4 linked regions of the Styela clava genome follow. The protein of the gene in region 4 purifies or fractionates together with the protein of the main gene of each other region. This does not show direct contact. Links are inferred from orthologs where the notes say so. Each region holds a gene or a part of one and is shown on either strand. Other genes may lie near its edges.

What was found.
Region 1: the proteins of uncharacterized protein LOC120347059 (region 4) and protein ECT2-like purify together in Homo sapiens (affinity purification with mass spectrometry; 3 studies listed by BioGRID). This does not show direct contact. The link is inferred for Styela clava from reciprocal best matches to the Homo sapiens genes SIRT1 and ECT2.
Region 2: the proteins of uncharacterized protein LOC120347059 (region 4) and DNA topoisomerase 2-binding protein 1-like purify together in Homo sapiens (affinity purification with western blotting; 3 studies listed by BioGRID, with this or other methods). This does not show direct contact. The link is inferred for Styela clava from reciprocal best matches to the Homo sapiens genes SIRT1 and TOPBP1.
Region 3: the proteins of uncharacterized protein LOC120347059 (region 4) and ATP-dependent DNA helicase Q4-like purify together in Homo sapiens (affinity purification with mass spectrometry; 3 studies listed by BioGRID). This does not show direct contact. The link is inferred for Styela clava from reciprocal best matches to the Homo sapiens genes SIRT1 and RECQL4.

The regions. Positions count from the first base shown.
Region 1 is NC_135261.1:7,398,848-7,406,994, reverse strand, and holds the start of protein ECT2-like, read left to right. Parts: upstream 1-4,939; 5' UTR 4,940-5,090; coding exon 5,091-8,147. UniProt on the Homo sapiens protein: Guanine nucleotide exchange factor (GEF) that catalyzes the exchange of GDP for GTP. Promotes guanine nucleotide exchange on the Rho family members of small GTPases, like RHOA, RHOC, RAC1 and CDC42.
Region 2 is NC_135257.1:5,646,364-5,654,108, forward strand, and holds the start of DNA topoisomerase 2-binding protein 1-like, read right to left. Parts: upstream 3,202-7,745; 5' UTR 3,121-3,201; coding exon 3,046-3,120; intron 2,797-3,045; coding exon 2,682-2,796; intron 1,855-2,681; coding exon 1,670-1,854; intron 1,170-1,669; coding exon 988-1,169; intron 147-987; coding exon 1-146. UniProt on the Homo sapiens protein: Scaffold protein that acts as a key protein-protein adapter in DNA replication and DNA repair. Composed of multiple BRCT domains, which specifically recognize and bind phosphorylated proteins, bringing proteins together into functional combinations.
Region 3 is NC_135263.1:5,657,009-5,664,549, forward strand, and holds the start of ATP-dependent DNA helicase Q4-like, read left to right. Parts: upstream 1-4,476; 5' UTR 4,477-4,685; intron 4,686-5,965; exon of another isoform or gene 5,966-7,541. UniProt on the Homo sapiens protein: An ATP-dependent DNA helicase which unwinds dsDNA with a 3'-overhang in a 3'-5' direction. Does not unwind more than 18 bp of dsDNA. May modulate chromosome segregation. The N-terminal domain (residues 1-54) binds DNA Y-shaped DNA better than ss- or dsDNA.
Region 4 is NC_135260.1:19,827,489-19,835,526, reverse strand, and holds the start of uncharacterized protein LOC120347059, read right to left. Parts: upstream 3,010-8,038; 5' UTR 2,880-3,009; coding exon 2,774-2,879; intron 2,018-2,773; coding exon 1,796-2,017; intron 1,389-1,795; coding exon 1,261-1,388; intron 703-1,260; coding exon 583-702; intron 171-582; coding exon 78-170; intron 3-77; coding exon 1-2. UniProt on the Homo sapiens protein: NAD-dependent protein deacetylase that links transcriptional regulation directly to intracellular energetics and participates in the coordination of several separated cellular functions such as cell cycle, response to DNA damage, metabolism, apoptosis and autophagy.

The sequences.
Region 1 (8,147 bases), on a different chromosome or scaffold from region 4:
TGCGACCTTCAAACAGCCCCTCGATTTGATCGCAGAACTTTCTTGTCCGCGAGTTGTTTCTGAAGAAGACCATCATCTCTGCGAATTCCACGTCTTTGTCGGTCTTTAGGAAGAGCGTCCGAGGTCGAGATGCTGCGGCAGGAGACGAAGACGCGACGGCGGCGTAACTCATCTTCTTTGTCTTGTCTTTCGTTTTTTTAGTGAATCTTTTCGCTGTTGAGGGCCTAAACTAGTGAAGGGTTGCCTTAATGAAACAGCGACACCAACATTTCAAGAAGATTCCGATCTGAAGATGACAACTTGGGAAATGATGTATGGCAAGTATGGCAAAGGAATTAGACACTGTAAACTTTTAGATAACTCTTGCAAGTTTGGAGATTTGTTTTTGACATACCATTTCTGGCTTTTGGAAAACTATAAATAAAACTTTCAACATTTATCTGATTAGACCCACACGTGGAAAAATTTTGCTGCCAATGGTTTGCTATAAAACTATTACTGTAGAACAAATCAATGCTCATTTTCAACATACACTATAGTTTTATTTACATATGTAACAAATATTTTGTGCCAAATGTTAGACACACATTAACTCTTTATACTAATTGTATCATTTCAATCAATACAATATATAACCAGCATACGTGACAACAACATTAGAATCCGATCTGACATAGATCATGGGTCAATTTCAACGGGAAAGCAACCCCCATCATATTCTACAAATAACTTCACAGAACTTCAATCAAGAACGCGCATATAATTTTGATATATACTTTAATTAACATTTGTGTTGAATTTCTGAATTTATTGAAAAAAAAATATATGTAGTGTTTGCAAATCGTGACGTATTTGCTTTAGTCCGGCAGCTCCAAAACTGTACTCATCTCGTTGGTTTGGACATGTATTCGAGGGCGCTAAGTGGTCTCCGAGACCACTTTGACTTTTCCGAATCGAACCGCTTCGCTGGACTAGTTTTAATGGACATGTAATCAGGCCTAATGACAACTTGGAAATCATGTAATGCCAAAGTATACCAAAAGTTCTCTTCACAGGTCTACTGTGTGTTCATCAATTCGGGAAGTGCGCCAACCGCCCTGTTGAAATTGATATTACTATTTTCCTTGAAATCTTTGCGTCATTCAAATTTTACTTGTCGTTTGAGAATTCTTTTCACCGTAGAAACTACATAACCGAAAAAACTTACTTTAACAAACTCGTTGGCGGCATTGTTACTATAATACACGGCACAACAAAAGGAGCTGCTTCCGAAATTTCGCCAAAAGTTTTTTTCATACGCGTGGGGGATTTTAAAAATTTAACCAAACTTGCCGAATATTTAAATGAAAAACGATCCATAACGTTGCACCAAGATTGACAATAGAACAGTGTGCTTATAAAACCACGCCATTTTTTCTAATATCCATTGACTTCGATTGGATTCGTAAATGTGTTTAGATTTATTAGTTTGTCACGTGGACATTGTTTAAAAGTAGATGAAGTGAGTTTTGCGTGAAACATAGTATAAAGTATACTATGTATGTAAAACTAAAGTAGAAAATGCTAAATTAGGTCTTTATCAGCACGGCACGAACTTTATAATATATACGTTTATAATATACCGTATTTCTCGGTGTATAATACGCAGGGCTCTTTTAGGATGGATTGTATGAAAATATCAAGGTTCATGCATATTACGCATGATCGAATTCAGTCACTCACTTCGGTCACTTGCGTCGACCGCATTTGGTATTTTCGGGAAGCCAGCCTAGCAAGTTTCACTGTGATTTAATAATATGTTTCAAGTGTTTATGACATTGACAGGTCTGTGTCTGTCAATCTCGGAGTGCTGTTACCCAGATTTGAATTATCGTGCTGTTACCTATCTTAGAGAATTTTGAAAATGGTTGGGGAAAAAAGATTTGTGTGCGTTAGGTTTGCCCGTTTGCCGATCGGTCAAAACGAGAGAAATGAAACAAGCCGCAATTCAGAGTGAGAAAAAATGATTTAGGAACATTCAATTTTGCCGATACGGTAAAACAGAAATGAGGGATGCCAGACTGGAGGACAACAACAATCAAACTATCGATTTGAAGTGACGTTCTTATCACTTATATACACTGGTTATTGAAATAGATGCGTTGTCCTTTGTTAGACAAGATAGTCCATTCTATGGGTGTGATTCTACTGCAACAAGCATGATCTGGTTATTACGGACTTTGTCACATAAAATTAATAGAAATAAGACGGAAAGAAAACATGTGTATTTTGCAATTGCATGTAAAATATCGATCATGATTTTTTGAAAATTTTCTATAGGCTACCAATGTATAATACGCACCCCCTAATTTTGAAGATGAAATCTGAGATCAGAAGTGCGTATTATACACGGAGAAATACGGGTATATTGTTGTGTGGGATCGAATCCCATCCTCATCGCCAATGTTCCCTCTAATTTTTTGTAGTATGTGTGCGCAGAAATTTTGGTGTGTGCGCACTTTTTTGGAAAGGACTAATATTTGTGCAAAAACCAATGAAGAAATTTTGGCGTTCTAACCGGATAATAAGTGGGCCAACAACTACTTTTTCAACCTGCCAACCGAAAACATTGTTACATCACATCGAAATACGTCTGTGCGCAGTAAATCTATGCGTGTGCGCAGCCTCTGAAAATTATTTTCAAGTAATTTAAATATTAGGCACAATACGCAATCTCTCATTCACTGATGATAAACTGCTACGTATACATCCGTACATAGGAATAATTATTTAGGGGAACCTTTGGTTGGGTGGACGTATTGTGGAATTCGATAAGGAATCTAGCTTTCTTGTCATATAGATATCTACAATGGAATATGATATTCATGTGGGTTTTAGGATATTAGAATAGGATTTCATATGTTTTTATTGAACACCCATAGTAATAAATACATGCATGTCATTGTAAAATTCTTTGTTCAAGTCTACTGAAAAATGTACAGACATTCCGTATGTACCTCATTCCGCTGTAATAGAAAGTGTGATTATGGAGATTTTTTGCAGGCGGAATTTCTGACGTCTTTTTTCCGAATTTTTTCGAAAAGATGTTAGCTTCCCGTTACATTTCGTTTATTAACTTATTATATAAATACCAGTCCTATTTCTCTTAGCGAAATTATGAAGACAAGACAATAAAAATGTAATTTTTGCGCGTAAAATTTGTAATTTGTTGGATTGGAACTTAAAGTAGCAATGAACAAGAGAGTTTTCGAGAAGATTGGAGGGTTGCTGTATTGGCGGTGCTACAAGTGTTGTGCTGGAAAAGTGTTTATTTGTCTTTCAATGTCATTTAAAATTAAGCAACATATATTCTAAAGTATTGTATTAACTTACGATCAAGGTTTCATCTGTAAAATTCGATTTCCACGCAATCAAATTCCAGGATTTTTTTTTAAATTTGGAGTTTGGCAAAAATGTTTTTATTAAACCGGAATCGGGCGAAACTTCAACAAATGTTTCTTTCATATTCGATTGATAAAAATTTGTAAACGATTATTCATTAGTTTTAGTGAAAAGCATTTATGTAAACAACAACAGTAACAAACAGGAGTGAAAATTCAAATATACTAACCCTGAAATCTAATCTGAAATACTTCTCTATGCACAATGTAGGCGCTAGTAAGCTGAATGCATGACCCGCTCATTGTTTAAAAAATGCCTTCACGGATTGGCCGACGAACAAAACTTTTGAATTCCAAGTCGGCCAGTGCCTCTCTGTCTGTACTTCGGCATTTTGCCTATGCTTTTGTTATAATGTGAAATATTGCAACAGGCCAGTACGGTACCGGTATGACGGTAGTGATTTGTCGTATATTTTATGAAAGTGTACCGCAAAATTAGTAATTAATCTGTCGCTCTGTTGCTTGTCGTTTTAATCGCGTCACCGTAAGTCTAACGTTAGTTAGAATGTGTAAATATTTTATTCCAGCACATTTACTACTACGGTACCTACCGGTACCGTACTTACTTTTTCTATTACAGTACTTTTATTCCAGTACTAGCCTATTTATTGGCTTATGTTTATGATACTGTAATAAGAGCTGAATAGTGTCGAATTTGTTTTTGTGGGAATGAATCTCTCTACGTAAGTTACGATACTGGTACCGTACCTAATATTAACATTACTACATTTTTATAGACAGATATAACGTTAGTTTACGAATGAGATTCAAAATTAATGCAGAAATACCGCATTTATTGGATTTAAGAATTTTGATAATTGAATTTCTGTAATCTAAAATTGATATTTCTCTGTAAAATTTGTTGTTTTGCATGTTTTAGCTGGGAATAGCCATATTTAATTGTGTTGACTTACTGCAGTACTGACTTGAAATTTACTCCGATTTCAATAATAGCCCTAATATTAAGACATTAATTTTAACATTGAGTGCAAACCTTCCTTTTATGAAACTGTCTGGGCCTTTATATCGGCACTTTACAATTATAGAAATAAATAAAAGTAAATGCAATCTAATCTGATTTACCGACAGACCGAAGGAAAAAAGTTTTACCACAGCTTTCATGAGTTTTTAGCAAAAATTCGCAATTATTACAGAGACGATCTCGCATGATCTGACACATCTGTTGTCGTTCCAGACGCCCTTGTTTCAAAAACAAATACTGTGTTGCTTTTATTAAATCAAATGGCGATACATTTGGGTACTGTGCCCCACTGTACTGTATTACAGTATTACGTTATTATTTAACATACTGAAATATTGAACATTGTAGTATCCTGCTTATGGTCATCTGTAATACTGGGATATTGGTTCATGCTCATGATTAATATGGTTTACAGTGTTAAATGGCTATTAAAAGTTGACAGGATACCGCCATGACATTTCTGTCATTTTTCTTCTTTTCACAGTAACGGGTAATAATTTGCAAATTTATATTGGTTATTTACAGTTGAATAGGTGTTAAAAATTTAGGATGGTTAAAATTGCTTTGTACTGTTAGACAATTGCTGATTCTGACAAATGATGGACGCCAGTCTGCACAATTTTTGAAAATTGATATAAATTGACGATTTACAGCCAAGTACATCCAAAATGGCTGAATTTTCAGATCATAGTTTGAAACTTTCGGCAACAGCAAGTTCTGAAATAAGTGCTATGAACTTTATGAAGTCACCCAATCATTCTTCAGTTGAGCCTAGAGTTTGCCTGGTTGATAGCGCTGCAAACAATAGCGAACTTATTCAGGCTTTAAATAATATAAATATACCATTTGTCGCATCTAAAGATGGTTCTGAATACATTGACTTGGAAGATGATCAATATGAAACTATATTTGTACTTGAAGAGTTCGACAGCGAGTATTTCCACAATTTAAAACATTCTGTTCATAGGGTCTTGGGATCGCCGGTCATAATGCATGTTGCTCTTACAAACGAACCTTTGCCGTATACATACAGACCCCAATATTGTAGCTGTATGCAAGGATTAAATCTTTGCTTCACCAATTTCAAAACTAAAGAACATTTAACACGGCTTGTCACAACTTGTCATTACATGGGAGCTTGTATAAAGAAAGATATGAGTGCAAAAATTGATTTTCTCGTTACTAATGGCTTTCACGGACCAAAATACCGTACGGCTGTCAGCCTTGGCATACCAATAATGAGAGAAGATTGGGTTCATTTGTGTTGGAACGCAAGAAAAAGAACTGGAATTCATGCAACTCATGATGAATTTGTTTTTCCATGCAAAGCGAAACCTTTCGAAGGATGCGTTTTGAGTTTCTATGGATTCCCTGCTGAAGAATGTGAGCATATGAAAGAGCAAGCATTGCAACAAGGAGCAAAAACAGCAGACATCGGGGATTCATCATGTACACATGTAATCGTTGATGAAAATAACGTTACGAGTCTTTCATTTGAACCGAAAGGAAAACTCTTTGTTGTTGTTCAAGAATGGTTCTGGGGCAGTATACAGATTGAAGCCAGAGCTGCTGAATCAATTTACATATTCGAAATGCCCGAAACAAAACAAACAATGACAAGAAGTTCTACATGTTCATCATTACTAGGTACACCACATAAATATAGAAAATCAAGTTGCGAATCTGGAGTTTCACGAGCCTCATCCTCGTCGAAATATTCCTTCAGTAGAAAAAGATCAAGAATGAAGGAAGAGACTTTGGCTAAATTAGCAATGGATTCTGATACGGACTGCGGATCTCAACCTGCATCAAAACGAAAATCTACTGATATGACTACGTGTATGAACGAATCATTAATGCTTGACATTTCAAATAATATAAAAACAAGGAGTTCACCCCGTCAATCTGATTCGATGAAAGATTCATCAAATAACGCTGTAAAAAAGGCTGTGTCTGCCCGTTTTCAAGTTGCGATGGAGTTTTTACAAACCGAGAAAAATTATGTTGGAATATTAAATACAATTATAAACGTCTTCAAAAAGCCACTTGAAGATTTAAGACAAGCTGGCGGACCTATACTTCCTGGCGAAAATATTAAAGTAATATTTGGATCGTTACCTGAAATACATCAAGTACACACGAGAATGGCAGCCGATTTGTCAAACGTTATGGAGACATGGGGTGACTCATCCTGCGTTGGATGTATCGTCGATAAATATGCTAAAGAATTTGTGCGTTGTTATCCCCCTTTTGTAAATTTCTTTGAGATGAGTAAAGAGATGATTGACTCGTGTGAATCTACAATGCCCCGATTTCATGCATTTTTGAAAATTAACCAAGCTAAGAAAGAATGTGGAAGGCAAACTCTTGCTGAATTACTTATCAACCCAGTACAACGTTTACCCAGAATACTTTTACTTTTACAAGATATTAAAAAGCACACAGAAAGGGAAAATAAAAATCACCCAGATGTGTTGGGAATTCAAACGGCACTGGATGCAGTTAAAGAGGTAATGACCCATATCAACGAAGATAAAAGAAAAACGGAATCGCAAAAACAAATTTTTGATATTGTTTATGAAGTTGAAGGATGTCCACCCACAATTGTTTCTTCACATAGGCAGTTCGTAACTCGCTCAGAATTGATCTCAGTTGACGATAATTTAACGAGTAAAGGAGATCATGTTTGTCTATTTCTGTTTACTGACTGTGTTGAGATAGCCAAAAGAAAACACGGCGCAAAGACACAAAGTTTTAAAAGTCCGAAAGTTCACACAGGAATTCAATCGGCTGCGCGCTCTCTCAAACATATCAGACTCTTGTCACTTTCCCACATCAAAAAAGTTGTCAATATAAAAAATTCTGATGATTGCCAAAGTGCTTTTTCATTGTTCTGTCGTACGCCAACAGATACTCAAGATTGGTTGTATACTTTCAAAGTTGTGACATGTTCAAGTACATGTGGTGGCCAAGTTGACGAAAAGGACCAGGAACCTAATGCAACTTTAACGGGAGATGAAGGAAAAAATAGACTGCTACAGCTCATTTCTAGACATCGTGCTAATACTGTTTGCAAAACCAGTGATGACAATTTTATTCACACTCTGTCCTCTCAAGATTTAGATATTAGCACTACAGATATTGGTTCCACTTTTGGAAGGGCTTTCCGAGCTGCTAAAAAATCACATAGGAAATTGACGCGTGCTTTTTCATTCAGTCGGACTCCACGAAATACGGTACAAAGAGCCGTTTCAACTATGATGAGCCCAAGTATGAAAGCAGTAGCATCAAACAATCACATAACACCTGGATTAGGTGCAACACCTTCCCGTGCATGGCCCGCATCCAAATTATTTGAAGACGAAAATGGCGATGGTTCCGACTACCATACTGGATCTTCAACTTCTGGTTTGACGCCTGGAATGAGCATCAACAGTCTTTGTACGCCTAAACGTCACACTAGATTGTCGAGTTCTTCAAGTTATCAAGCTGAAAATGAGGAGAATATATTCACAGGATCGCAGTCAATGATGAAACCTTCAATGAGTATGATGAGTTTACAAGGACCTGCAAATCATTATCCGGGAATTCTCGCTCACACCAAAGGTCATGAATTTCAAGCTCCAACTCCTCCAGTGAGAAGAAAAAGGGGTGCTGCCAAGGCTGTAAAAGCGGCCACAGTTGCATTGGGCCGTGCTGGTTCTTTCAGGAGAAAGAATAAAAGA
Region 2 (7,745 bases), on a different chromosome or scaffold from region 4:
CTCCACTATAATCTCCACCAAACTTCGTGACTAATTTTTGAACTCTGGTTTTCTCAGTTGTTCCAAAACCTGTCATACAAACTTTACATCCAAGAAATATCGGGCACAAAAATTCTTCCCATTTGCCATCTTTAGCACAAATATACCTAAAACAAAAAATATTTATTAAGCTTAAATAAAAATAATTAAATCAGATGAAACTGGACAAATCCAAATATTACAATATTAGAATCTTATATCAAGTCAAAAATAATACTTTAAAAAATCAAATACTGGCATTCCTATGTAGTGATAAAAGTCAAAGCTTGGTTAAAGTTAAAATCTTGGGTTCAAGTCCTGTGCGCACCACCTTACCCAAGGTGTCACAAATTGAGCTGACAATGAGGAATTAGAAATATTCCGGTTCCGCCAAACTATAGAACCTCCTTACATAGCTTGGGTGATCGTTCAGAGCCTAGGTCAGAGTAAAAAGGTGAATAAACACATTGTGTGAAAAGGATGTTACTCTTCATTCCAAATTTTATCATGTACATTGGACGTATTCATGGACCTATTTTGTAAATAAATACTATAAAAAAAGTGTTCATCTCAAATTTTGATTCTTGGATAAGAACTTATAAATATATACAGTGTTTCCCCGAAACTAAAACAGGGTTGTATTTCAATTTTCTTCTGAAAATAACACTAGGGCTTCTTTTGGAAAGATGTTTTTATTTTCATTTATCAAAAACAAAATTATAAAGTAGATATTTACAAGATTTTCAAATATACAAAATATGATAAGACTAGGTCAAAAAAATTTCGCGCTATCCACTAAGTCTTATTTAAAAAGGGAGAGATTATCTTAAAATATTTTCTAAAATCCAGGTTAGGTCTTATTTTCAGGCGAGGTCTAATTATCGGGGAAACACGGTATCATCAATTTCATATAAATTATACAGACATCACAGGCGTATATTTGTTATCACTGATCGAATTCTGTCATACCTAGACATTCCATGCTTCCATAAATGATATATCCATTCCTTTGTCATAATTTTAATATTTATTGAAGCTGCAGTAAAATATTTGACAGAACCGACTTCACCAACAACAAGATGAGTGACATCACAATGCAATGGTCGTGACACTTTTCCACCCATAAGTTCAACTAGATGCACAAGTTCTATCTACACAAAAGCATTATAAAGGCAATCACTTTTTATGTAAGGAATGTACTGGTGATATTAGTGATAAATACTGAAACTTGATTTGATTTATATCAGAAAATTCAAATAAAAGTGATAATAATAAATTAAAATCAAAGTGGATCACTAACAAAATACCAAAAAATGTAAATAAAGCAGAGGCAAAGCTCCACAAATAATGACCTATTATGCTTATAGCAGATTCTCTTTGCATACTGACTTCTGTAATTTATAGCAATATGATTAGTATATAAATAACTAAGAAGATTCCTTTGAAGGCATAATGATTAAATATTACAATGAATTATCACTAATAAAATCGATGGTAAAAAATCTGTCATTATAGCATTATGTATACAATTTTTTTTTTCTCAAATGTAAATTTAAAAACAACCCCTTTCCCCAGTAAATTGGTCCGAATATAGATGTTTATATTTAAAAGTTAACGATAGTATCTTCACTACAAATAATAATACACATACTCTTTCTTCATTTTGAATATTTGAGAAACAAATTGTTGTATTAAGCAATGTGAGAGTATAAAGAGGATATTTCAAATCATCTTGAAGTCTGATTCCATGTTTTAGAACAGTCAATGCACATTGTGGACCAAGTACAGGATAGTTAAGATTCACAAGATGGTCAATAACATCTCCAACTTCAGGACCTGGAAAATATTCAGTTATTTAAAGGATTCTTTTCTTCTTGAGAGAGAGAAGAAAGATAATAATTATGGCTTGATCATATAATGAACCAAAGTCACTGTGCCCTCAATAAGTCTGTTCAATTTAAGGAGCAAATTAATTATTTGTTTATCAATTACTGAAATAAATGAACTACATAAGACTGTTATATAACATAAGTCAGTAGATCACAGTTTCCCGATTTTTAAGATTGGCCAACATTTGATTCAATGAAATAAAAACTCTATTTGTTTCTAAAACGAGGATGTCTTGCACAACGGCAAATGCGTTTTTGCTAAAATCTTCCGATCGAATGCTCTGTTAAAATTTTTTTCTGAGGATGGTGCTATTTCTAGACTGCGCTTCCTATTAGAATATTGCACAGTACCGGTGTGTCGATATGTTGCGATATGGAGACTTAAACCGTCTCGTAAAGGTCGGGTTTGCCTTCACTGTTATAATTGTTGTCTTTTAATTGGATTTTCTGGAATCAGTAAACTGTGACGTACTGTTCTTTACATGTATCTAGGAATCATAAGTATAAGTTAATTTTGACTTCATAATCAGCATAATAAACAAAACAATTGATGAAAACAAACAAATAAAAACTGATTACAGAATCAGCAGAGCAACTAAATCTTACTGCCTCAAATTTTGAAAATTCCAAATTTAAATGAGAAGGTAGAACACGTAAAACGAAATCACATTAAAAAATCTGGAAATAACATAGTCTACATATTTTTCCAAACAGTCACAGGTAAAACAAAAAATATTCTTCTATTTTAAAATACAGACACAGGCTTAGGCCTACCTTCAATTGGATCAGCAACATACACAATTTCTTCCTTGCTGTCCTTAGAATCTTCCAAGTTATTCACTTCTTCTACAGTCACCCATGTACACTTAAGTTTATTCTCAGAAGCAAGCTGTGAAAAGTCATATTTCTGTATTTATTGAGCTGCTCTCGCATTCAATTGAGAATTATAATTTATATTTCTGTATTTTTCAGAAAAAACCCTATTCCTGCAATACGTCAGCATTATCCAGACTACTGAACTATAAACATATTTAGGCCGTGTTTCTGTGTTTTCGGGTTTCCTATCCCCGGGATAAATACCGTTATGTGAATAATATCCTGTCCAAAATGCAAAAATGCGGTACCGATATTGACTTACTTTGTGAGCTGCTTCAACATTCTCTCTCCCTTCTTCAGTGAATGCAAGAAATCGGACTTCATTCCGAGAAGACATGAATACGGCATTAAAAGAACTAGCCTAGTTGCAGAGTTGTGTTAAACTGCTCAGAAATTTCGCGCCGGGAACCAAACATCCCCTTTCTGCTCAATGGCGTCCCTGGTGACAGTATTTAACCGGACATTAAAAAAGAATTTAAGACCTTTTCTTGACCTTTGACACCAGAAAAATTCTTCCTATTCTTAACCATTGCAAAATTTGCGGGGCTCATTTTAGGAGTAGTTCCGCGAGTTGGCCCCTGTAAATGGGGTATTTGTTTAAAACCCTTATTATATATAATTCATCGCGTACAATGAACAGTTTTTTAAAAGTACCAGTAAGAAATTTTAGACTAGTCTATCACAGCTATTTCTACACCAATTCTTCATTACTGCGAATAAATTAAAACTTTTAAAAATACATAGTGATCGTTGGATTATCCGATTTACATTTAAATTTCCAAAACACAATTGAAAACTAACGAATATAGTTCGAAAACGCGAAAACGAGGTGATGTTCACAACCACGTCTGAAAATCTGTCTGAGTGAGAAAAGTGTCTGGGCGGATGTAAAAAGCGGGCATTGTTACGTTACTTGTTGCATCTTGCTGATTGGCCAATGTCACGAAGTAAACAAGAAAGTCGATGCTCGGGGAAAGGTCCATGATTATACAAAAAACGACTAATCAAATATTATTGTTATTGTTTAAAAAATACTCTTAAAGATATAGCCTATGTGATCATAGAAACAAACCAAAAATGTATTACCAAATTACTCTTTCACCAACTACGGTAGAAATCACATGCCCCCGCTAAAAAGGCTATGTACACCAAAGCCTATATATACAATATGTCTCCGCTAAAATAGCTATGTACACCCTAAATGGCTATGTTTCCTGTGTTTATACTAAAATGGCTATATCCTTACTAAATTCACGATTTCGCTATGTTCCTTCCAAAATGGCTATATCCCTACCAAAGTAGCGATTTCCGCTATGTCCTTGCTAAAATGGCTATGTCCGCCAAATCCTTATTAATATGGCTATGTCCTTACTAAAATGATCCCGCTATGATTCTAGTAAAATGGACTGAAATGAGTATGTCCCTACAAAAATGCCGATGCCCACTATGTCCCAACTAAAGTGGCAATGGCCCTACTTAAATGGCTATATCCATTTCAAAAAAGCTATGTCACTTCCAAAATGGCCATGTCTCTGTGAAAATGGCTATGTTCGTACTGAAATTGCTATGTCCTCACAAAGAAGGTATGTCCATTCTAAAATGGTTATGTCTCTACCAAAATGGCGATGCTTGCTATGTCTGTTATGTTACTACAAAATTGGCTACGTCAACTACTAATTTGTTAGGTATCTATTACAATTTTCAAAGCGACTTTGTGTAAATGAGAAAGTTGGCTGAAATAACTGTTAAGTTTTGCACTCGATGCAATTAAAATAAGCTTACAGTTTTTTTCAATAACAAGAACTATGGATTGAAAAACTGTAATATGATTTCCAACGAACTGTGACTCATTCCAGACACATTTCCTTCTTGAGCACATTTCCTTTCTGCATACTGGACAAGTGGTCATTTTTCCAATAGCACATCTTGATCTCTATTTTGGGTTTGATGTTGATTCATGGATTCAATATTGAATTTTGGGTGATCGTCAGGTCTGGTGTATTCACACAGGCCTCGTTCAGATTTAGTTTTATTTTATCATTTTTTTTCATGGAATCATTATTGAAAATCGACAGATCCTCTGTTGCATACTCCCAGGCGTCGTTCAGTTTTAGTAATCACTGCGTGATTTCCATGTGAACCCGTGGTTGTTAATATTGTTCTGTCTTAGATCATCTAGTTTGAATCTCGGACATTTATAATGTTGATATACGACGGCTCTTCTCACATGTTTTTTCTCGAAGTGTCTTTTGCAATGCGCATAGCCAACACATACAGTTTTGCATAACAAGCAGTAAAGATGAATTGTTTCAACACTACAATCAGTTTCGTTGCAGGTTCGGAATCGAATAATATAAAGCCAAATAATGTAAGTCATCCACGCTTACAGTTTGAGTCAGCCCAATGTCATTGGTCAGCCAGACCTTGGTCAGACCGTAAATATATACCACTACTAGTGGCGGCGCGTGGTCATTTTGACAACCGGGGCAAGCTACTGCTGGACCAAGTCACCCCCATCTACGGGGACAGGATGAGCGCTGTAAGTTCTCCCATCATTTTATGAGTATAAAAACCATTCCATCGGTAACAACCAATCGGCAAAAGCGACAATTTTTAACGATAAGAAAGTGTCTTCAAAACCGGTCCAAATCAAGGGATCAATAAATATAGACATAGTTTATTTTGAAACCTCTTTCAAACGGAAAGGCAATATTTACCCAGATAAATACAATGACATATTAACAGAAACTTCGGGAAAGCAGACAAAACCTAAAATAAGGTTTAAAACGTTACTATGAAGAAAGGAAAGGTAATGCAAAGATAAGAACATGCGTCGCTCACTCATAGATATATATGCTGCTAGACTTCTACTGCTTGAACATATATGCAACACGCCGCGGTTTCTTGGAAGCAAAATGCTCAATAACGCGCTGATTAAAGTCATGCATCCCAGAAATAACGTCTCTGTGAATGGATAAAACAGCCAAGGAATTTAATCTATCTTGCTTCATTGTGTTTCTGAGATACGTTTTAATACGCTTCAGCGTGCTGAATGTTCGCTCTGCGTCGGCGGAAGAAATAGGCGTCGTCAAAATGATGTCCAGAAATTTTGCAGACGCCGCAAAGGTAGTTACTAGAGTGTTATCTATGAGGAACCCATAGAGCGCGCAAGTTGATGTGATGTTCAAAAAAGTTTGATTGGTGTATATACATCGCAATTCATTTTCCAATTTACCCACGTTTATCATGGGGTAAAATTTGGAGACAGTAGCCAACAAATGGATGGGAAATTGACGTGCAAATTTTGAAAAATTTTTGGGGTTCATCAAAGAGAACGCGGCAAGGTGTTCAGTGCGCAGACGATCGCCTATTTGATTCACCAGAATGTCACAGCATTCCTTTGCAGACACAATCAAACGCTGCGTTGTTTGCCCGCGGCGTAAAGAAGCACTCCATGTGTCGTCGTATTTTATTGTTTCTCGGATACCAGATACAGCATCGCAGAAGTCTGAAATACACGACTGCACAGACGCTCCATCTGTTAGCCTTGGCTGCAATGCGCCGTATAATACATCCACGTGATAGAATATTGTGAAGAAAAAAGCGAGAAAAAATGAAAACTCACCATCTTCTAGCAGACGCTTTAGACCTGCCGCCTCCCTCACAGAGCGTTCGTCCCAAACCGGAGAGCTCTGAATGCCATTGAAACACTCAATGAGCTCAGACCTAATTTCGGACACGCCCTGCACCACGCGTGATTGGAAGTTCCAACGTGTTGGTGCACAAGCTGGGAGACGGCGGCTACATATCTGGCGAAGGAGGTCAGAGCGCTTCGGCGAAACGGAAAAAAATGAAGAAAACCCCGAAACATTTGCAAAAAATATACGGACGAGAGGGGTATCAAGACACATATTTTTAATAACGAGGTTAAAATGGGGTGCATAACAATGTAAAAAATGCGCATGAGGAAAATCTTCTTTTATATAAACTTGAACACCATGTTTCGACCCACTCATGACTGCCGCGCCGTCATAAGTTTGAGCTATCAATTTTGACTTCGCGTTGTAAGGCTGTAACACTTCTTTCAGTACAGCCGATATCCCGCAAGCCGTGCGATCAACGATTGGTACAAAGCTGTGAAATCTCTCGGTAGGTTTACCATCTTTCACAAACCGAAAAATCACAGCCAGTTGGGAAACGCACGTGATGTCAGTTGTCTCGTCAGACTGAATCGAAAGGAACTGGCAATTCTCAATTTCCAGAGCCAAATGTTGTAAATAAATTTTATACATTGAGTCGAGCAAATCATTTTGGATATCCTTAGATGTCCCTTTCGAAACAGTTGCAGCATCAAGATGATCTCTCATTATAGGCTTACCATACGTCCCGGTTTAGCCGGGACAGTCCCGGTTTTGACAAGCTGTCCCGGCGTCCCGGCCGGTTGAATCAAATGTCCCGGTTTGTCAGCACGGCTTTCATGGGTAAAAAAATTATGTTCATTATTATCACAATTTTCTTTTTAACGGTGACAGCCCATTTACCACTGTTTTGCGACACACTTTGCTAGTTCGGAGAGAGAAATCGCTCTATTGTTATGTCACAATTGGTATATGTTTTAATGCGTTTTCTGGCGTTAACTGCAATGTCGTTAGGTTGTCGAAATGCCAAAAAGAAAGTACAAGTTTTCTGATGAGTTGAAGAAAGATTTTCCTTTTTTGAAGCAAACTGAAGGAGGAAAGGTACACTGTACGCATTGCAGATCTGTTTTTCTATTAGTCATGGCGGTCGTTCAGATGTCAACGATCATATCCAAAGCAGGAAGCACAAAACATTTAGGAATCGACTCGACTGACCAATTTTGCGATAACAAATTCGGGTGATTCTGTGTCGTTGGCAGCCGACATTTGCCTATCACACTGCTATTCATGACCAAAGTTTTGACTGCACCTCTAAATTAATTTC
Region 3 (7,541 bases), on a different chromosome or scaffold from region 4:
GTACGCGGGTTCAAAGATAATGGAACCGAAAATGCATACAATGAACAGATTCGAAATAAACTATTGAAATGATGAGGAGAGTCATTATGTGATATATGTAGTATTATTTAGATTTAGATAGTTCATTAGTCCAATGCATTTTTTTGTTTGTTCGTTTTTTTCGATGAAAACTTCACATATTTGTACAATACATGACATACGTATATATATATTGATATTCGAAAATAGTTTCGAAGGAACTTTTCCATAATCACGCGTATACACGTGGTTCTCCTCTTCTACCACGATTTCATACAATTCAAAAAATATGAGGTTTTCTTGACAAAGTTTGGATTTGTAAAGGAAAAAACTTGATGATAAAAGTAGGCTCGTGGGTGTGACGCGTCGTTTCAAATCGTTAGGAATGCGCCTTTTGGTACGCGAATGTTTTTTCTTTTTATTATTGTATTGAATCCCTTTTCTTTTTCAATGTAAAATATATTCCCATTCACTAAACATTTTTCATGATATATCGATTATTGCTTTTAATTTATAAGTAATCCACGAAAATCTTCTACACTTTTATTTTCATTTACATTGTAGGATTCTCCCTCGCCCTCGTCCTTGGTTCGTGAATAGTCAGTCCTTCTAATTGTATTAATTCTCTTCTCTTCCGTAAACGTAAAATATATTTCCCTTCGCCAGGCATTTCTCGTGATATATCGTGTGCTGCAGGGGTCTCCAACACACGGCCCACAAGGACCCCAGCATTCAACACATTTAAATACATTCAGATTTCTTTTTGTATTTTTCGTATATTAATTTTATACCGAGGTTATGACCCGCGTCGTCAATAAAGTTCAAAAAGTGACCCATGACATTTTTTAAGTTGGAGACCCCTGGTGTACTAAGTAGTATGCATGTGAAGTAGATTATACGTAAAATTTTATAATCCCTCACACGAATTTGAATATGAAAGAAATTCGAAAAAACAAATACAAATAGATTTTTGTTGATGTTGCAGGGTTCCCTTTGTCCTCGTGGTTTCTTGGGGATCTTTCTTTTTAATCTATGCAGTCTCTCTTCTTTTTCAATGCAAAATATATTTTCTTACACCAAGCCTTTCTCATGAAATATAGTGAACCGAGACCGTTGGCATGTGAGGTGGATTGTACGTACATTTATTTTATTTCACTACACAACATGAATGAATGAAAATAAAATCTTGATTCTCTCGTGTCGTCTTGCTATATGAATAACTTTCCCCCCTTAATGTTTGGAGTATCAATTGTTTGTCAATGTATATATGTTGCTATTGAGCAAGCATTTTTCATCTTATACTATAATCGATGAGCTAGAGCAAGATTAAAAAAGTGAAAAACGAATAAAAATGTTTACTTTATATTCAGTACAAAGAAATTACATTGCTTGATAGCAGACCAGTAACTATCGTACATTTGTGTTGATTTCTAACAAGCTTTTACATGAACTATGAATGAACATCGCTCGTTTTGGAAAATATTCGTTAGTTTAATATTTTCGATGCCGACGGGACAACTTTGGTCAGAAATCCGGTCAGATTTCAAATATTTAATTCCAGTCGTCACCCGTTTGCGATATCTTCACGCACGGATGTTGGACATATAGACCGTATTAGCGACTCGTTGTGCAGTGTTCCCATTAGTTTTCAAAACAAATTTTCCTTATTTCTGATAATGATGGGCCGTCAAATTATTCATTTTATTACTATTTCTTCGTTATTTGAACGATGACATGAGAGAACAGTAATCAACAAAATACCAAACGAAAGTACAAAGCATTTACATGAATACCAGTTTTTATTTTCAATCTGCCAGTTTTTATTTCAAAACTTTCACAAAAATACACTTCAAGCAATAAGTGAGTGATACAACCAGGTGGTGCTATAAAGGTATGGTTTATTGGGACCAAGGACGTTATTCATATGATCCAATGATCTTACTACTTCTGCAAAATCAACATATGCGAATAACTGAAGTCTGTCAAATTATTAACAAGTGAAACCGGAATGCATTCATCTGCACGTTCACTGACACGGTGATGAGAAAACAGCATTGTTCAAAATATAGGAGATTCCCGTGTCTTCAGTGATGTGACTTTGAGTTTCCCAGTTCCTGAACAATATACCGGATTAAGAAAAAGAAATCAATGCCTATTCGTGTATCTCAGAGGTGCACTAAAATGATCGCAATGAAAATGTACAAAAAATTACAGCGAGCCGTGTAAAATATTGTACAAGAAAAGTGTTTTATCCAGGGCTATCGTATTGTTTGATCGTCTTAATCAAAAAATTTTCGATAATCGTCTAGTGATCAACAAACATTTACTACATCAGTTTCTGTAATCAGAATTTCATACTACTGGACATGTTCAAATATTCCTAAAATATTGATGAATCGCAATATAAATTTGTATATCGATAGACGACAAAATCGATTTTGCAACAATCTTTGTTAAAAATTCATCCTCACCATCTAAACTGCAGCAAACATGAGAGGTTGAGCGAGATGTTTTGAGTTGACAACTATCGAGAAACTTTACAACTCCGGGGAATTTTTTGCCATGACGATTGATGAAGTACACCTTAATTGAATGTTTTATATTATAACAATTGTGGACACGCACCTTGAATCAAATACCATATAGTATTAAAATCGACAACTTTCATCCAAATATTTAGTCTAAAAATAGCACTGTGTAGTGTGTACAATCGAAAATATTTGGTTTCTATTAACAAACTTAAAGCGTCTTTTATGTATTGAACTAGGTTCATGTCTAAGCCGTGAATACTTGACACCTATGGAAAGTTTCTACAAAAAGCAGTAGATGTTTTCAATGCGCAAAGCTAAAACCTCCTGGATTTTTGACTAACGAAAAAGTTGTATCCATCTTGTGACTTGTGATACCATGATACCCTCTCCGGCGCAAATAAAATTTGATTACACAAAGCAAACTATCATTACCTCGATTCCTACTTTCATTTCTCCATACGTCTAATAAGTCTTTTTTGTAACTTGTCTTATTACATTAGCATTTTCATCTTGTTGTTTTCAGTAGTTGCTGAATTTGTGCTTTTGTCAGCGTTTAAAGTACCTGCACATTTCGGTTTCGCATTGCTAAGGGCGCTCAACATTGCATCAACTTTCGATGCTGCAGACGTCGATGCTGAGAGTCCTTGAACTAAAACACATCGAAGGCGGTAAAACAACGAACGCGTTGTGTTTTGAGAATGAGAATTATTGTTTGAGAATTGTTTCTTCTGGTACAAAAAGCATATTCTGCGGCCCAGCTTTTGGTCGGTTAGGAAATTAAATTAACTTATAGAATGTCAATATCTTTTACTAGAAGATGGTTGCGCATGTTTTGAAGCCTGCATGCTTTCTGACTGTAATAATCGTACCTGTTTGAAGCTTGGCTTATTGTGTTGTTTTAGTGACTGGTTTCGCGACACCTTTCCTTAAAGTTGTACCTATGTCAACTGTATTTTTCGTCGCGACTTCTTTTTCCCGGTTCTTTAGCATTGCTAATAATCCGTTGATGACATAATTGTTCGGAAGAGCTTCTACCCCGTGTTGCGGTAAAACAGTACTCTTGCGACAAAGAGCACATTCCACCTCGGTCACACCTTTAGTCTTCTTGCTTCTAGTTGGAGCCATCCTGAAACGGAGTTCACTTTTATTGTAATGAAAGACAAAAACGTCGGTTTCTTACTTATTGGTTGCCGCTTGTACAGAGATTCACTCGGAAGTGAAGTGTGGGACAGCCTCATAAAAAACATTTCATTCAAAATACCTCATTTGTTTGTACATCTGACACCCCGTGGTGAGTGCGTTCAAAACGATGTACATCAATCACATACCTTCCAAGCACTTTGCGCAGTAAGAATGTTGACAGGACAGCACTTTCGGGTTTGAATAGGCTCAAAGGCAGATTGAACACGTCAACAGGCTTTCTGATATTTCGCTTACAAACTGCTTCCTCAAACAGCGGTAGCCATATTAAATTTAACAGAAGAAACAGAACGACCACCGCCAAACGAAAGCTAGAAGTGGTACGCTGCTCCAGATCAAAATAACCATACAGAAACAATTATGTTATAAAAAGCGTGGTGTAATTATTATTCTTAAATTGGATTGCCTCCAATCTTTTATTATTGCCCGCGTTCAGTTGCGGACTAACTGTCAAACCAGTATTATTTTTCTGGTTGATCATTCAAATTCCCTGAAATACTAATGTTACGCTGCTACAATTAATCAAAATTACATAACTAGTTTTCTATATGAAAAATTGAGGCATACGGGGATTTTCCATACGCAGCGGATGTGTTAGATTCTTGGAAGCTGCAACACATGGTCCCTTGAAGGTTGGTGAAAATTGGTAAATTTTCAAGAAAATTATTTACTTCTATATACTCAAATCTTTGTAGGAAGGAAGGTTAAACAAATTTGGAGTGCAAATGGACATTGAATTACTATTGCTCAATTGCATTTGAAGTATATATAAATCAAAATAGTACGCAACTGATGATACAGCTATATGGATATCTATGGAACGCTAATCTGACTCTGCTGTTATCCTCTCTCGCTTCAGCAATGCCAAGTGCGAGATGATGCGATAAGTCTATTTGATTGCAACGATTAATTCGTCTGAAATGCTTCATCTACAGAGTAAGTGTAGACAAAAGTTTATTAAAATATCTACAATATAAATCTAAACGAAAAAAAAGTTATTTTGCAGAAAACGAAATTATAGAAATATAAAAATAGAATTTATAGTTATTTTTCGATATATATATATATATCCTCCCTCCCCTTGTCTTCACTACACGCCTCAATCTGGAGCTTGACTGCACGAGGCATGTGTGTATTTTCCCCTGAATTTCATCCAAAACAAGTCATCAATCTGCGCTTTAAAAGCTTGACTGGCACACTGATATGCCCAAACTCGATAGACGATATTTCATTGAGCAAGCCTATGTTTACCCTCTTTTTACAAGAATCATTGCTATCTTCTTTACAGTGTATTATGCATACATATACCCTTATATAATTTTCTAAATAGTCTTTGTTGCAAGTGTTTTCATTGTTGCAAGTGTTTTCATTGTTGCAAGCTCATTAATTTCTCTCTATCTAATTATTATTTACCTAATTTTTCAAAATTGCCAGTGCCGTCAATTTCTCTCTATTTGTCTCTATTACTAATTTTATTGGACACGTGAGTGGACCTATGGATCGTTTTAATATTTTGTTGTTGTTCTTGTTCGTCTTCATCATGATAAAATCGCTTTTCTTTTCGAATACTGGACCAATTGCTTTAAAAATTTCATTCTTTTTATGCTTTCTCGAACGCTTTATCGAAACCGAAGTTGCATTGGTTTATTATGCAATTTTTCTTCCATCGCCATATTGCTGTTTGATAAGTGCGGCAGTAATGGCTCGGTGGCGTCTTCGCTTTTTCGGTTTCAATTCATCCAGTGATGAGCTGGAAAAATCGTAACAACCGGAACGCACCTAATTCGCAAAATCAACGACTAACATACGTAAAAATGTAATATATATATTTACAGCACGAGGCGGACGTTTACAGAAAGTTTTGTCTAGCCCTACCCCTAACCCTAACCCTAACCTAAGATAGAACCAAAATACTACAATGAAATATGAAGAAATTATTTGGACTACCGTGTTTCCCCGAAAAAAGGACTGGGTCTTATTTTCGAGGGATGTCTTATATTTTCATTTATCAAAAACAAAATTGTAAAGTAGAATATTACGAGATTTCCAAATATATATATATATATATATATATATATATATATACAAAATAATATGGAAACCGATATCCTTTTATTTATACATAACAGTTTTTATTCAAAATAACTGCAAAACATGGATTATTGATCATTTAAAACGCGTAGGAGAGGTTACTTGCTATCGACTAGGTAGAAAAAAATTCGCGTTATCGACTAGGTCCTATTTTAAGCGGATGTGTTATATTAAGATCATTTTCAAAATTCAGGCTAGGTCTTATTTTCGGGGGAATACGGTATGTCTGTGTAAAATTACAAGAATATTCATATCGATTCGATACAAATGTTATTATTAGAACGGTATGGGATGAATTTCAAAGGCCGGGGAAACATCTATTACTCGTTACTGATTATTTGCGTGATGTGGTGTAAAAAGAATTACGAACTATGATGTAACAAAACATAAATTGATAACTAGGTTTACCAGAGAAATTAGACTTTTTGTACCATAATTTTATTTTAACAACAGGAATGCAAATGCAATAAAATGTCCAACAAATGGAACGCCGTTCTGGTGCGTTCCGGCTACAGCTCACCATGAATTCATCGCGGAAGCGCTCTGTCAAATCTCACAAGATTTAGAAACCAAGGGATCACACGTGTGTTTTCTTTTCTGCTAGCTTTTCCTGCTTGATTAAGACCATCCATATAGAAGGTTAGGAATATTTCTTTGTTCAAACCAGAAAACAGCCAAGAACAGTATAATATTCCAGGGCTTCGCCTTGACATCCAGTAACATATGAACTTGTTGCGGCCCTACAGGTAGGTGGCCACGAGGAGCGCGACAAAAGCTTGGGCCGCGGAGATCTTTCCCAAGTGATACACAGTCGGATTTTGAGCCTGGTGCCGAATTACTAACGACTTTGTTAATATGTATATATTATTATTTTTGTTCCACTCATTTCAATGTTCGCGAGTACATTTTATTTAATTTTCCCGGTCCGCCAGGATAGGAAGGTTGGGACCACTGCCGTAGACCACCGTAACCCTACTGCTTTCACTGGTTTTCATGTCCGCATATTTGACCATAGATATCTTGTTTTTTGAATTTGTTATAAATAATCGAAATAAAATAGTTTTGGTGTATATTAGAATTTACATTCAACGAATGAAAGGTGTTCTATCGTGACCGTTCCTCGATGTGAAACTAAAAGTATATATACCTGCAAGCGTTTGAAAGTCGTGATGGGGGTGTCGTATACGAGGTTGCAATTTGAGTGACATACGAAATGCACGTATTGGGAACGAAATTCACGACTTCTTACAGCGAAGATACGCGATGATATCAATAAAACTACCATTACGCACAGATTATCATGTTCTATTTATAAAATAAGAGTCGGTTCACGCATCCATGCGTAAATGCCTCCGGTGGTTACGAAAGTCATTTGCTAAGTTTTCATTGCAATTTGTATCTTTTGTGGCATTTTTTAGTTAAAGCCATTCGAAAAAAAATTCTAGACAAGAACAATACAAAAATATGAATGGGAGCCAATTTTACTTATTGCCGCTGCAAGAATTATGGATTGGAATTCTCCACACAGTTTCTCGCTTTGAAAATGGCTTCGCACCCTGTTCTACCGTCTGACCGTTAAGTCATTCGTTATGCGTTACCGCCATTTTTTATGCACTTCTTTGGTACACTACAAATTAGGTAATGATTGATTAAATTGTTGAAAAGTTGGTCTAGACACCGTACAATATCGAACGAATTTCA
Region 4 (8,038 bases):
GCCTAGAAACAAAGAAAATATTATTTATGATGTCATGCAATTTGCTCATGAAAACTTTTACACAGTATAAGTCAAACCTGTGGGTCTGGTAGGTCAGGAAAATCAACTGCAAGTCTAGCGTATATTCCATCGCGGGAACGAAAATCTGGAATTCCACATGATACTGAAACCTTGCAAACATAGATTTAAATTAGTGACAACAGACAGAGGGAAGAATTTTCTGAGTTCAATTAAACTCAGTTATAAATGAGCTATGAACTAACCAGAACTAAGCTATAATATCTGTAAATATGGCGTCTAGCTGCTCCGAGATAAATATTCATGTCAAACAAAGAGATGTTTCGCTTCACGGCTTGTCTTCCCTCTCATTTCTGTACTTTAGGGCAGATATAAACTTATAATGAGGGCACCGAATGGCCACCATATAATCGATGGCCAGACTAAAGACGGGCGGCTTTCTGATAAACCTTGATGGTGACAATTTTTTTCGATGAAGTCATTTACGTATATATATCATGTCCCTTCAGTTCTCACTTTGCCTTATTGAAGATTTACATTTTCTGATGATAGAACATCACTCACCCCTGCTCCAGTTAGTACTAATATATTTTTTGCATTTTTTATCAGATTGACAACATCAGACAATGAATTGATGTGGGATAACTTTGGTCGTCTCTGTGGCTCACTCAGAATGTTTAAAACCTGAAATAGCAAAAAAAGTATAAGTTTGAAAAAGACAACCAAAAGAGCAAAGATTTTGATAGCCTGAATATGATTGTGATTTAACGTGGACCTTCTGAATTTAAATTGCGATCTCATATCAATCCTCGAATAGTGTCTGCATCACGATCATCACCAAGCATGCAAAGTTGGCCAGGTGCCACCTCGAATTATAGTGGTTGCTTATTTTTATGGTACAGCCGTACGACGCTTTGGTTGGTTGGATGGTTCATCTTCATTTAGGAGATAACGACAACAGAGTCCCGAGGCTATGGCAATACACGTTAGGTCGGTGCCAAGTCGAGTCAAATACCAATTCTTTCATTTTAGAATTAGAGTGTGGCGGCCCTTCAACAATGTTGTATTAAAAAAGATGCAGTTGCATGTTTCCAATGGCAAAGAGACTTTTCAAAACAAATTTTGTTTTAAAATGCCAGCATCAATTTCATAAATATAACTATGTTTGAGCAATAAGATTTTTCACCAGCGTATGGGTTGTAAGACAGCTTTGTTAGGGTTAAAAGGTAAAAAAAAACTCACAAGTTTCCATAACGTAAATGGATTGATGTCTACAGGTAAACTACTGGATAAACTTGGTACAAGATGGTGAAGAATTTCTCTAGGATCGACGCCTGACAACATCTGTGCATGAACCCATCCAATCATACCTGTGAAGAAAGATACCTTGTCAAAGGAACGAATAATATCACTTTTTTTAAACTTTTTATGATACAATATTACGGCGCTGCAGAGTGGATCGCATGAATGTGTTTAATAATAATTGTCGGGTAGTCCCTAAACCGTGGATCACAAGCCATTGGAGTCTTGAGACTAGTCAGTCTGTAGTCGAGTCAAGTTTTTTAATCGAAATAAGGCTCAGGCATTTGAATAAAATAATGTTGAAAACTTGGAATCTGAATCGAAATTCTTTTAACTCGAATTGGATACAGCTTTGTAATAAAAAAAAGCATCATTACCAAATTATTCACTACTTAAGAATAAGAGGGAAAGGTATTTGAAATTAATAAAATGAACCCTGAAAAAGCGTAATTTTGAATAAAACTCCGCTACAAACCAGCTGGTCTTCTTTGCCAATCCCCAGAGCTTGCATGAGATGATGAATCACTTATGTTGCCGCTATCTTCATCATTGGGATTTTCATTTTCTATATTACTACTATTGCCTGAACTACTCTGGACATCATCTTGTTCAACGGAATGAAAACGTAGATGACGTCCTGGTGCTGATTCTCCACTTTTATACTTTGAATCACCAAGCCCATTGGAGAAATGAGAACCTGTAAATACGAGAAAAAAACAAATTGATATAAACATAAAGCATTGATAGAGTGAAATTTTCCCCACTTGATGCATTTCTAATACCTTTTCTATGTCCGAGGGTTAACATTATAAGCTCACCCAAAGCCAACCAACTGAATCGACGTGTTTGTAGTTGATCTGTGACTTGGTATTTCAGGGCTACGACTATCAATCTTTGAATCTGCCGCATCAAGACTACATAAATGATGTCATACGCAGATATGCATTGAAAATTAGACTCATATTATGATTTTTTTCATTACGACCTCTGGACTTGGACATATTATCAGTATTATAATACAGAAATGACATCACTAGACACTTTGAAATAATGCATTGTATTTTTGTAAATTACGGTACAGAATACAGGAATATACATGACAAGTAAATAATCTACAGTGAAAATTAGCCCAGCAATGTCATCTTAACCATGATGTTAACATGAAGTCAAAGTAAATACGGTCTGACGGTATTAATGTGCTTGGAATTTTGATAAATATTCGAGGAGGTTTTAGCCTAGCAGTCACAGACTAACATAATCAGTTGTGTAACAAATTAATAGAGAAACAAGCGATTGCGACTTTTGTTTTAGAATTTAGAGGGTGATGGCTAGAAACAACAGGACTTCTGGACTTGTCAGAATATCCTCATCCAGTTCATTCGAGTTCTGTAGACTATATGGCTGTACGGTACACAATATACCGGTACCATAAAAACTTTTAAAATAAACTCACTTAAATTGGGTTGAATTCCAAAATCTTCACCCTCAATTCCGGCCTTCTCTTTTCTTAGTTTTTTGTACGGTACAACCAAATCATCTTCATCCATATTATCCGCCATGACACTTACAAAAGCTGATTATCTAACGCTGGAACGCCCTGAAGACAAACCACAAAAGCAACAAAAAACTTGAAATTTGTAAAAATGGACTAGGATTTTAGAAAGATGGCAGAACCACATAAGCCATTGGGATTTGGGAAATCGCAAATCAGAACAAAGGCATAATGTGCAGGAGCGTATACCGGTACCGGATTCGAGATGTGTAATTACAAAAGGGTTGTTATAATCAAGATCTTTGAGAAATTAAGAATTAAATTATATATAAATATTCTTTTATCAACTTTTATGCTATTTTAATAGTAGTGTGGATATCGTACTAAATGGAATCAAAATATTTTAGTTATAGAAAAATTCGCATATGACTCGATGCACCACTAAATGACGAGCCAAATTATAAACTAATAGAAAAGTATATAAAATATGAAGTTTTTAAATGCAGTGAAGTATAAGTTTATTTCAACCTCCTAATCAGCAAAATAAGGCAATAAAGTGATTGTTTGGAACAAATAAATAAAAACCGATTATGAAATCAGGATACGGTAGGCGCAGGCTATTATAGGCTACATAACGTAGGGCTGGCGGGCGCACACTGCTTGCGAAAGCTTTTTATGCGGTCGCGAGATAGGATTTAAAAAAATTGCATAATGCGATCAATGCTAAATAACAAGTTTATATGGGATGAATCCAATGGTAAGATTACTAATTCAAATAACATCCAAGTCGCCGGCGCGGCGGTGTGGCTCAACGGGCTAATCATTAGGAATACGCTCGCCTCCGCACCTCTAATTACTCTGCGTGGGTTCGCAGGTTCGAATCCCATGCAGAGATGTTTATGTGCGAGAGGATTGCTGGACTCCTCGCCGCCGTTGGGTGGTTCACGTAACCGCTGGTCGGTTACGGCTTCCTCCACCACCAAGTCCATGCTTCCGAAAACAAACAATATACCTAATCCCATACCCGACTTGGAATGGTAACCGGACGAGAGTCCAAGTCCATGCTTCCGAAAACAAACAATATACCTAATCCCATACCCGACTTGGAATGGTAACCGGACGAGAGTCCGTGGTTCGCCATATTGATAAGCCATCTTATCGGCTTTCCTCTCCCCCGGGATAAATATGTAAATCCTATCCTCTCTTCGTTAAATTTAACTAAGTACTTTTGTATACCGGATTTATGATTTTGGCACTATGGCAAATGTATGAAAGCACATGCAATAGTAACTTTTAGTTCCAGCATTCAAAGAAAAAACGCAATGATCAAGAAGGGATTGAGAACGGACAAGTGAATGTATCGACAAATGAATATTTTTTGATTACCTTGGTTCGTAGGTTCGAATATCAGGAGGAGTAAATTATGTGTGATAGGATTGCTGGAATCCTCTACGCCGTATGGTGGTACACGGCTTCCTCCGTCATCAAGTCCATGTATCTGAAAACAAATATCTAGCTAACTAATCCCATACCCAACATGGACTGGTAACCGGACGAGAGGCCGTGGTTCGCCGTATGGTTGATACGCATTATCGGCTTTCCTCTCCCCGAGCATAAATATGTAAATCCGACCCTACCTTGTCTTGCATACCACAAAGTAACGTCAGTTTCACTGCACAGAAAGCTAAGTTCAAAAGTCCACTCCACACTTCGGGATTGTCTATTTGAAATTTCTGGAACCAACGTTTCCGGATTTTTACTCAGCAAATGCGGGATTTGGGGAATTAGGGAATATTGCAGCTGAAATTAATTGAATCTAAGCTGAAAGAACACACATTATTTGTAATGTGGACGCAGAAACTAAATCACAGAAAAGTTGTACAGTACGCAGGTATTTCACCTACGGTTCTTTGCGAGACGAGGCTTCTTTGACGGCCGCTTTATTGTCTACAATGTAAAACGAGTGAATCTTTGATTGTTTAGTACTGCTATTGTGTGGTATTATTCTTCAATTAAAACAACGGTAAAATTGATATAAGAATTGATAATAAAACAGTAAAACAACTTAAAATTTGAGACAATTGAAAGATGTGTGTAGCCCGAATCGAGTGTCCCTAAATTTGGAAAACCTAACTCCAAATTCAAAACGTCGCCACTCGCCATCACGTCCCACGACCAATCAACGGCCGACACGATCCTAACCTGGAAAACTGTAATAGCACGTTTATCTGGAAATTATGTAGGGCCGATAGTGAGGAGGACTTTTTAGGTAATCCGATCATTTTTGCAGGTTTCGATAGGTGTGTTTCAAACCACGACAAATGTGGCTTTGTTCGTTTAGTTAGTTTGAAAATCTCCTTTATCAAATACGGTTGTTGACTCCCCGAAATGTCTTGGGTGATATACGTTCAAAGTTACTCCTATGTTATCTCTGGGTGTGAAAATTAGAATATAAAATTGTTTGGAAGGTTGTATATAAGGTACCGTAAATATTGGAAATCATTCAATGACAAAGGATTACACATTGATTCATACTTTGCCCAGACGTTGCTCGAAAATATAAGGAACGACTCATTATGATGTCATAATACCCCCCAATGTCCAGTCTACGTTTCAGATTGTTTCCATTAATCACAAGAAGGTTATTGCGCACACTGTGCTAATATTAGGTATTTTCGAACAAAATATTTAATTCTTATTTTGTCAAGCAAACCTTTAAAAAGGCTCGCAACGCTTTATAAATATAATCGGGCGTTTCAATGTGATTGGAAAGAAAAATGTTTCGGACTGAAATAGATGTCATGATATAAATATCAATCTAGCTATTGTAATATTTATTGCTACATCCATCACGAGTGCGGTTTTCCCAGACGTCAGAGTTAAAATTCAAGGCCAATTACAAGCTCTGACACTAAAAAAGGTTGAGAACCGTATCGTACTTACACTTTAATAAAAGTTATTTTGAATCCATAATACACGAAAATCTATATGATATCACTTATTCGATATCATCTGACAATTCTTCACAAGACCGATTTTCAATGTGAAGTTTTTGAAATATTGACTAGGAAGAACATCTGTCACTACTCACCGCTGTATTGCACTAAACTTTATTGGGATTTTTACTCGCACCTCAAAAACTGAATTTTATTGGGATATTCATTCTTTTAAAATTCAATTGAGGTATGCTTAATGAATACAGGTATTCTGTAGATGGACACATGAGCAAACTAAATTCCATCCTCTAAAAGTGGTAGCAGACATCTTCTGGATGACCGCAATATTTAAATTTTTTCCAACATTTTTAACACAGCACCCCTAAAATATTCCAAAATGTCATTTTCGGATCTAATCATTTTACTGGCAATTATTTCAGGCATCTCTTTTTTTTGTCATAACACTTTCAATTATGTTGTTTATGAATTTGCAGCTACTGAGTCTATCAAAACATGAGGCTTGAAAAAAGATTTTGCTTTACAACAGTACTCTGATATCTGAATTATATTTAGCTCCTGATTTTTATTGCGACTGAAGCACTTCATCCATGCTTTCAAGATACACCAAATATGAAAGATGTACATCCGAACGTAAGCTACACTTTTCTTTAAACCACGTGCAGAGTGCTCCTCTGTGTTGGAGTAAATCTTCATTGCCCATCCATATCAGTATGTATCAACTCATTTATTATGTCTAGTGTCCATTTGAAATAAAACCCTAGATGTTTTACATCTAGATCAACTTTTTTTTTTTTTCGAAATCTAGATGTGAAATTTGGAGCCTATATGTTAGCTATAATTTCTAGATATTTTTTTCAAGGTTATAAATATTCTTCAGTGGGAAATAAATAAAGAGATGTAAATAATACTGTAATAGGTGAATGAATATTGTTTCATTATTTATAAGTATTGACTAAGATTGATAAAACTCACTCATATTGTATTCGTCCACTGGTACCATACAGCCATATGTACTCAAAATATTTGAATAACGAATTTAACATGTTCAAAACATGTGACGTTTTAATTAACGTTAAATAGAAACTATTGCTAACTAGGGCTATTGAATGTGTCTCTCTTTAAACATCAACCTTTCAAAATGCCAAAGTGTATACACTACCAGCAAAAATTTAAAAAAGATTGGCTTAATTAAGGAATGGTTTGCCCCTTCAGATGATAAGAATAAGGTATTTTGTAAGTTCTGCAGGTGGGAATTGAGTTCTAGGTTAGGATGTTAGCTTCTTCGACATCTAATATTACTGTATTATGGTTACTTTGCATTAAACTCAAGGATTTGATATCTAGATGTATTTTCTAGATGTTTTATTTTTCAATCGGGATGTTACTAGATGTTTTTCGAGGTCAATCTAGATGTTTTTAGTCAGGCAAAAGTGGCAGCCCTGGTTGGCACCTTCTGTCTTGTATTCAGTGTAATCTATTGCGCTAGGAGTTGTTTATCGTGTTTAATATTGGGTTTACTATCTGCGGTTAGGATAAACGATTCGGATCGAAGTTATTAATTGGGTTTAAAAGTAAGAGGTTTATACTAGGGTTGTAATATAACGTAGGGATACAGGTTAGGGTTGTATTGTAGTCCAAATGGAATGATAACTGCTGTTTTTGTATTTAGTCACATAAATTAAGTTGCTCTTCACGTCTGTCTCTCTCGCCCAGTATCAGTGTTCGTGGTTTTTGAAAGCTCGATTAAATCTTCTGCCGCTGCGATCCGTTCGTAGACGGTTTACGGCATATGCGGAACCACGGGTGACTTGTAGCAAGTGTGGGTATGCAAACGAGACTCTTCCTCATATGCTGAATCACTGTCACCCAGTCATGAATATCATTAAAGAGCGGCACGATTCGGTGCAGCAGGAAGAGATCTTGGCTCACCTACCTCCAGCCAGGTTTTCTAGGTGCGATGTCGACGTAGTTTGTCGTGAGCACACCGCTAGAACAGCTGAGATGCTGCGGTCCGATTTGATTCTCAAGAAAATCTGGACGAATCGGATCGTAGTGGTCAATGTGGTGTGACCATTCGACAACGGCGAGCCGCTATAGATGACGCGGCCCGTCGGAAGCACTTTCGGTATGAAGAGTTATGTCGCTCCATTGCTGTTGCCTTTGGCAAAGTAGTGGAGTTTACGCATTTGTGGTTGGTTCTCTCAGCAGTTATGCCGTTGGAAACCAGACTGCTCTTCTTGCTTTGGGTGTGATTGAAACGGTCGCTACG